Oryzias latipes: one gene and its partner. The protein of the gene in region 2 interacts with the protein of the main gene of each other region in a pairwise test. Links are inferred from orthologs where the notes say so. Each region holds a gene or a part of one and is shown on either strand. Other genes may lie near its edges.

Region 1 (4,209 bases), on a different chromosome or scaffold from region 2:
GCTTAAACAATGAACAGAAAATATGTATTGTCAAACAGCACCCTCTTGTGGTCGTAATAATGCCTAAAATACCACACAATTTTAAAATAATGTTTTACTTTTTGTTTCATGATTCACTGAGTTGTTTTTTTTTTCAACATCTTTTCACTTACTGTTTCTTGTTTCTCCAATGTTGACAGTAGTACTTGTATCCCTTTAGTGTAGTAACCTACAGCCTCCAATCCGGTGTGGATTTGTCCAAGGTACATGTATTTACTGTGGCCTTCATCTGGACTCAGCTCCACTGCACGAAGGAAAACTTAGAGGAAACTAGTCAAGGAGAAGAATTATATCGAAAATAAAGAGAAATATAAGAGCTGTGTCTCTGTGACTTAGGATTAATACATAAATGCAATATTATTTATAAGAAAAACAACATAAAAAATGATAGGATATTCCTTTGGCTTTCTGTGTGTCTCCCAACTCAGAGCAGATGTGTCCCTGCATGTCAAGTGCTTGCAGGTTGTTGGGGTCCACATCCAAGGCTCGCTGACAGAAGAGGCCAGCCATCTCAAAGTCAAAGCTGTCCATGTATTCTTCAGTCTGTACAAATGCAGTTAAGACCAAATTATTCCCCGTAGTAAAGTAATATTTAAATAAACAAACCCGAACATGCTCACAACATGACCTTCTCAAGTAGTTGCTCCACTGAATATTTCTGGGATGTCTTCTTCTTAGCTTTCTCGTGCATTCTTAGCTTCATCCTTTCTTGAGGTGACAAATCAACAAATCCTCCAGCATCTGCTGTAGTGACAGGCTTAGTGTTAGTTTTGTCTAACTAGAATCCCATAATAGTCAAAGCAGGTAATATATTAGGTTATTTTCTTATGTTAGGTACCATCCAGTCCACTTGTAACGAAATGACTACTTTGTCCTGTACATATTACCCTTTTTAGTTCGATGGTTTTTCCTCTTCGGTTTGTTGTTCTTCTTACTGCTCTTTGCCTGACCTCCCATGTCTAAGGATAATCGGTTTTATAGATTTGCAATGTGATTGTAAATCCGAATTTTCCCCCAACGTGAGAACAGAGCAAAAGCGTGTTAACACACTAGGCAAATGCTTGAAGTGCGCATGCGGCAATGTTGACAAATTAACCACTACGGAGGCTGGTAGTGGACATTTTAGTGCCGTCACGACTTTGCTTAAGTCACCATTTTATTATGAGTCTTTTTCAGTAGTACTACTCTATCTTGAGTCTTTCCTTATTTATTCATTCTTTGAAAAAAATTAAATTATCACTAATTTTCAGAATTATCTTTCTCTCTGTTACGTAAATGTGGGCAGGTGTTCGACTTTATTGACATATCATTTGACCAATGAGCTAACAACTTGGCCCTCATGATGTCAACCAATCGGGAGTTACGTACAGATTTACGTACGTACGTTTCCCCCCCACAGTTTGCTGTCAGTAAATATACGAATGACGGAAAAGTGGCATTCGGTGGTAATTTCAACAAAAATATATTCACAGAGAAATTCTGACAGCTCGACTTTTTACCGAGGTGACCGAAAATTCTACATCTGGACTTAACTGTTTATTTGTAGTCGCTACTGATTAATGGGAAGTGAATGACACAAAGCAACGGTTAGCTGCTGGTAGCGTTGCTGCTAATGCTAGGCTGGGTTATTGCCAAAACAGCTTTACATTTTTAATTATTATTGTTAAGTCGCGAATTATTTTAAATTATAGCAAACCAGGGTGCTCTTAATTTTTATAATCAATTATTTTGTGTCTTCAAATGTATGGTTTACCGTTTGGTGGTTGCATGCAGCTCTTCTTAGCTGTTAGCAGTTGATGAAGCTAGTTTCAAACATTCATTGCAGAAAAATATTATTACGTTATCAGCCGTCAACAGTTCCACTGCACTTTGACATTTGAGGTCTGACTTAATCTTTAAACTGCTTCCGGGTGATAAACCAATAGTAATTTGTGTTTTTCACCTTTTTAGCTATAGGTTGATTTGGCAAAGTTGATGTCATCCCTACTCGTGCGTTTGGTGCCAGTTTAGTCTCAGGAGTGGCTTGTGGCAGATGTCACAGGCACAGCCTTTAAAAAAAGTGGATTATAAGAAGAACCGAAATAAAACATGTCAGAGCTGAATAAAGAGGTGGTGGACTTGGTCTGGGGGAGGACTTCTGATGGAGGTGTGTCAGCCTCAATCTTTCGAAGATGGACCCAAGGTATGATCATGTATTTGAATGTCCTAAAATGAACAATAATGTTTATTTGATAAATGGAATCATCAATGCTTTGACATTTTCCCTCCTGGTTTCTAGCTGATGGAGGAATTTCTCAATATTACTGAAAATCATTACCGTTTCCTGCTTATGTTTGGATGTTTTGTTGAAATCCCTCTGAAACTCAAATTTAATGTGGGCCCTTCTTGAAGTGGAGGTGTGAGTGCTTCTTACAAACTCAGAAAATATCAAAGTAAGTTTTCTTTTGTACCTTATTTTCTCTCCCGTTAAACAGGGTTTGTTTTTAGCGAGTATGAACCCACAGCGCTGGAGCAGTTTGAAGGAGGACCATGTGCTGTAATTGCACCTGTCCAGGTACTGTCTTGTTGCTTTATCAAATCAAGATATAAAAGTTTTTTTGGAACTTGCCATTGAGTCTGTCCTTACACAGTCTGAGAGGGTTTTTTTTTTTTTTTTTATACAGGCTTTTCTTTTGAAGAATATACTTTTTAACAGAGAAAGCTCCAACTGGAGACAACTACCAGGTAGATTATTAGTGGGGGAAAAAAACATTCAAGCTACAAATTTTGGTGTTACTTATGTAGTTTTGTTACGTTTTCATTTCAATTAATCAACATTGTCTCTATCTGTTTAGAGGAAGAACAGAAAACAGCCCTGTGTTCTACGTTGAGTGAAATTCTTGAGTCAGCCTGTGCCAGCCTTTCAACTGGGTTCTGCATTGTGACCTGGGCTAAGGGACATTCCCCAGACACTGGCAAACTTACTGCAACAGAGCCAGAGTCACAGGTACAAACACAGGACAAGCCCGAAAGCAGCAAGCCTCTGCAGGAGCAGCAACCCAGTAAGTGCTGTGTCTATCACTTTCTAGCATGAGATGCATGCATTAATTTAGTGCCCACTCATTTACTGAGGCGTTGTTTTATGTCAAAAATGGGGGGGGGGGTATTTTGTTATGACTAACCTTTTCAAGATTTTGTTTTGCTTGTTAAGAGATTGTGTGTTCTCTTTTGCCTAGCTTATTCGGTTGCTGAGGATCTTAGCTTTGAGCGATTTCACAGTGTTCTCCAGTAAGTGACACTAAGTGTTCTAACATATGAAGCACTTTGCATCTTGGCAGCTGAATTCACCTGATGTGATCCTAATATTGAGTAATGCATTGTGTTTTCTATAATGTTAAGACCTCGCACATCATTCTTTTACAGTTACATGTATTAAACTTTTTCACCATGCTAAAAATTTGATGACTCAGGACTATCCTTGATTACCCAGTATGAAAAAAAGATACGTCTTATACAGTACACCATGTTTTTAGATGGTTCACCCAAGTGAAATAAATGCAGTCTGAGATTTGTAAAAAATCTGTTTTGACTTAAAACACAGAGGGGCTTGGTGACTTTGATGGACAGCTCTAACATCAAGATTTAAGATTCCTCTGCAAACCTGTAGAATATGTTTTCTTTTCTGTTACATTTAATTAGTCTACATTTAATTTTTATCTTGGTCTCACATCCTAAAGGACTGACTGATTTGTCTTAATTGTTGTTGCAACAAATACATACGCAATGAAATTGCCCATTTTTTAGATGAGGAGAAATCACATGGGGGAAACAGTGGTGGCAAAAAAAAAGCCTAGCGGATCTGACTTTCTTGATGAATTAATTTCTGTATTTATTGTTCTTTTGAACCTACAGTTGATTTTTATCTTTCAGCAAACGAACCATCCTGTCAGCATCAGATCTGAGAGAAGAGGTGTTGTCTCTCTACCACTCCTGGAGGGGGTGCTGTGGAGTTTTACTTTTCCTCTACTCCGTCATCCTCACCAAGGTAAAAATGTTAATTCTTCTCTAAAAATGATTGCAAAATATTTTTGTTTGTTTGTATGTGTTTTTTTTTTTTAAAAAAAAACATTAAATAGTAATGTTTTGACCTTCAAGAGGATTTTGCATCAATATTCTGGTTTCTGTTTTTTG
Region 2 (4,122 bases):
GTTTAGCCTCCACTCAATCAACCCCTCCTGCTTTCACCGCCCGGGTGGTAGCCTCCTGCTTTCCCTCCTAGAAGCCTCCTACTCTGAAAACTTTGGAGGCCCCTGTTTAACAGCAGAGAAGTTATTAGTGATGTCCAGATCTGATCACGTGAGCAGAAATCAGGCCGACTGAGTCGTTTCGCATTGGACTGGAAAAAATAACCCCGATCAGGACATCCCTCTAAATTTACTGAATAATGTTGGATTTTACGTTTAGAAACTAAACGAACTTTAAGCGCTTCTGTCCCCCGAAGTAAATAAATCTATACAGTAAAAGTGTTTTTATGTAGATTAAAAAATTGGACAGATGTTCATTTCACTGAAATAAGTTCCGGAAAAGTACCGTAAATTCCGGACTACAAAGCGCACCCAATTACAAGCCGCACCCACCCATTTTCACGTGTTTAACTACTTTTCTACATACACAAGCCGCGTCGGAGTACAAGCCGCATGTATTAGGCAACATTGTCATCCTGACAAATCACGTCCTGCCTCCCAGAGTAAGTGTGATGGTGGATTTTTTCACGCTGCTTCTAACGATTGCTTTTAACTTGAAAGCTTCATCATATTGCAGTGGCGATCACGTGCACGTTGGGTCTAATGGCACCAAAGGATTCTGGGATGCGGCTGGGCATGCGTGTTTCGTTTGTGGAACCATGACTGAAGTGTCTAAGACCTGAAGTTAGGTCCATGCTGTTTGGCTGCCTAGACGTGTATTGAAAAACAAATGACTTGCCCTTGGTGTTAGATAGAGAATTCTAACCATTCACTGTGTCCGAAAGTACGTACATGGCGGCCGCCAAATAAAACCATAAATTAGCCTCGTCACTGAATAAGCCGCACGGCTGTAAGCGCAGGAAAAAAGTAGCGGCTTATAGTTCGGAAATTACGGTAATTGTTTTAAATATGGTCGATGTTATTCGCAGGCGTTTACGTGCAACCAGCACAAAAACTGATGGAAAAACATGTGGATCACACGAAAACCATGTGGCCCAAATACACATTGCTGCACGTATTTGAACCCTAACCTTACCTGTAACCATAAGCCCTGCCCTAATTACGGTGAAATAGTCACTTCCTTTAAATCTAATTGTCGATTTAAGTAAAAAATGTGATACAAAAGTTAAGGATATTATGAAAATCTTGTAAATGATTTGCAAAGTCATTGTAACTATGATGGAGACGTCAGTGTCTGAATCCCGCAAAACAACAAAATGATGTTTGTTTTTGTTTTGTTTATAAAGAAAACAACAGCCGAACTCACTGCATTCTGCTGAATTAAATGCTAAGTCATCGTACAAACCCGCTCAGATTTAAGTGACTTCTTTCCCCATTTCGTCTCCCTTTTCTACCAGCTGACACCGGCGAGCGTGGCGGTACGCCTGTTACCTGGCGGGCTGCTGTGGTTCTGTGGCTTCGGCACTTTGCTCCTGTTTGGCCTCCTCAGGAGGAATAGGGACAGCTGCAGGGGTGGGTGCAGCAGGAGGATTTGAAGGCGGGGCAGCGGTTGATGTGGAGCCAGAGTCCTGTGCGGGGGGCTTGGGGGCTTCCGGGGCTGGTGCCGAGGTCGTGGCTGCAGGCTTAGCCTAACGTGTTCAGAAAACAAATGAAAACGTCAGAGGAACTGCATCCAGACGCGAGTCCGCTGCACACATAAAAAAAGATAAAAAGCTGGACCATGCAGTCTCACCTTGGATACCATCACTACAACAAAATTCTTCTCATCGATTTTGTAGTCTTTGATTGGCGTATCGTCTTGCAAGATTTTCCCGGCGTATATCAGCTTCTGCCCAGAAACAGGAAAGTTGTCTTTTCCTCGTTCAGCCTCTATCTTCTCCTTCAAGGCCTTGACCTGACACACAAGAGGGCAGACATGATGGTCGGACTACCCGGAGGCAGCCTATCCTCAACACCTGAAAGCCACACCCCAGCCGCCTCCATGCGAAAAAGGCCAAATCTGGAGCACCAGCGTGTATTTTACTTTTGTTAGACATCTAAACAGTAGAAGTTAACCCAATCCATCTAGGCTTCCAGAGCTGGGCTATCTATCAGGAGCTAGGCGTGATTGGCAGTGTCATGATGAGCATTTAGAGCACGCGCATCATCCTTCGTCACCACCAGCGCACTGACTGAGCGTCTCTGATTCACACATGTTGGTGGTTTTACCTCATATATTCACAGCCAAAAAGGCCGCAACAATCCTCTGTCAGCAACTTCAACTAGTGACAACCAGCTTTCAGGTGGCGGCCCAATGACTCTGTTAATTTTAGCAACATTAGCTTGAAACCTAGCTTAGCGAGGTAGCTTCAGCGCGTAAAGGAACAGGTGTGTTCTTAATTTTAAGCATTTTTTGTGTGGCTTAAATGTTCACACAATTCAGAAATTAATTCGATGTGATAAAAGTTAGTTCCTTTCACTGTACCTGCTCTATGGAGCTGTCGGGTGTGCACGCGGAGCTAAAAGACAACTCCGGTGCTGGAAGCTAACGCAGTTAGCTGTTAGCCACTTACCGTTTGTTCGGGGTCTATTTCAATCTGAATCGTCTGCTGCTGCAGCGTTTTCAGAGTGATCTGCATGGCGGCGTCCGGTGTGCTTCAAACTGGAAAAAGAGCGGCGCACTAAAGGAAAAAAAAGTCAGTCTGTGTCTCAGGTTCGCGTTTTGAGTAAGATAACAACTAGCCGAGAAATGTGTGTATCCATGAGCACTCAGCAAATCGCCATCTTTGGTGACAAGTTACGGGCACTCCTGCTTGGAGGCTGTGAGATATCGCGAGAAACCACGAGAGGGCCAGCAGCACAAAAGCTTTAGAAAACAAGCAAGACAAACACACGCGCACAGAAATCACAAGACTTATAACTTTTTAACTATATAGAAATACATTCTGATCATGTTAAGTGCCTGTGAGACTCAAAGTCCCACTTTGATCATCTTTTGATCTATTTTCAAAGCGTTCCTGGTGGTCTTTTAGTGACGATTATGCTGTTTTTAGACAAAAAAATTCAAAAACCTGTGTTGATTTCGTGGACGTAGTTCCTGCAAAGCAGCAGCAGTTCATTAAAAATTCACCTCTAAGTTTGTAGGAAACACTTCTGGTGCGGAGCTACCCAGGCCCCCCTTCCCATCACCCTTCTGTTTACATGCTCTCCTGCTAGCTTACAGCCCCACACAACCTAACATTATCAGTGCAACAAATATTGGTGCTGACCGGCTTTGAGCCAGACGCCAGCTCGGACGAGTAAAACAAAGATGTAGCCTACATGGATCTGGTCTACAGGCGGATGCATCAAAATGCAGCAAAGCAGTGAGTTTGTGGCCCCGCCCAGTGTATTTTCTAGGTCACAAGTATCCGTGTCACAGCTACAAGCTTTCTAAGATGGCATTTTTTTTGTCTGTTCCAGATTCACAAAACTTTTATACACATCATGTTCTGACCCATCCCCTGGGGGAGCGGTGACACAGCTGTGCTCGGGATCCCCCCCAATTTGAAGCTGAATTTTCTTTATATGTGTTCTCCATTGTCCGAAAAATGCCACAAGAACAATTTAAAAACCCCACTTTCATTGGGGTGGGTCTTTGAGTCTGAAGCGACGTTTACAACGCCAAATCACTACCAAATCCGAGTCCCTGATTGGTCAAAGTTTGACCTGGTTAACCTTTCATCACACACAGTCAATGGTCGCAAGTTTTGAACACAAAAACCTATAGCTATGCGTGATGCGAGACGCCCAAAACACGCATTTACTTAAACTTTGCATTAGAAGGAGCCACATAACCATAAACTTCATCGTGCTGTAAACTTCTTTTATTCATCATTGGGTATAATATTAACTCACTCTTTGTTTATTTCCTCCTGATTCAGGCACAGTGGATATCTGCATTCACACCTGGAGGGCCTTTTTTCTGCACAGCAGACTTTAATGCCACTATCACACGACCAACACAAACTGGTTCAAACGAAAGGACTTTGGTGTCAACGTGTGTCAATGAAAACCTAGGAGAAAGGGATTCTTTGGGTATCTGCTGCATAAAAGAGTTTAGGAAGTGATTTTAAAAGACAGAATTGAGCACTTTGAACATGATTT

The links.
Region 1: the proteins of rad23a (region 2) and mindy3 interact in binary tests that used the Homo sapiens proteins (3 or more experiments, as listed by UniProt). The two-hybrid records come from large-scale screens. The link is inferred for Oryzias latipes from reciprocal best matches to the Homo sapiens genes RAD23A and MINDY3.

What each region holds. Positions count from the first base shown.
Region 1 is NC_019874.2:16,911,209-16,915,417, reverse strand, and holds the start of mindy3 (ubiquitin carboxyl-terminal hydrolase MINDY-3), read left to right. Parts: upstream 1-1,409; 5' UTR 1,410-1,542; intron 1,543-1,989; 5' UTR 1,990-2,127; coding exon 2,128-2,221; intron 2,222-2,513; coding exon 2,514-2,593; intron 2,594-2,702; coding exon 2,703-2,763; intron 2,764-2,873; coding exon 2,874-3,080; intron 3,081-3,254; coding exon 3,255-3,306; intron 3,307-3,948; coding exon 3,949-4,063; intron 4,064-4,209. Other genes in the region: probable assembly chaperone of rpl4, read right to left, coding at 153-299, 436-582, 668-783, 927-996. UniProt on the Homo sapiens protein: Hydrolase that can remove 'Lys-48'-linked conjugated ubiquitin from proteins.
Region 2 is NC_019866.2:22,942,520-22,946,641, forward strand, and holds the start of rad23a (UV excision repair protein RAD23 homolog A), read right to left. Parts: upstream 2,801-4,122; 5' UTR 2,616-2,800; coding exon 2,550-2,615; intron 1,892-2,549; coding exon 1,730-1,891; intron 1,626-1,729; coding exon 1,429-1,625; intron 1-1,428. UniProt on the Homo sapiens protein: Multiubiquitin chain receptor involved in modulation of proteasomal degradation. Binds to 'Lys-48'-linked polyubiquitin chains in a length-dependent manner and with a lower affinity to 'Lys-63'-linked polyubiquitin chains.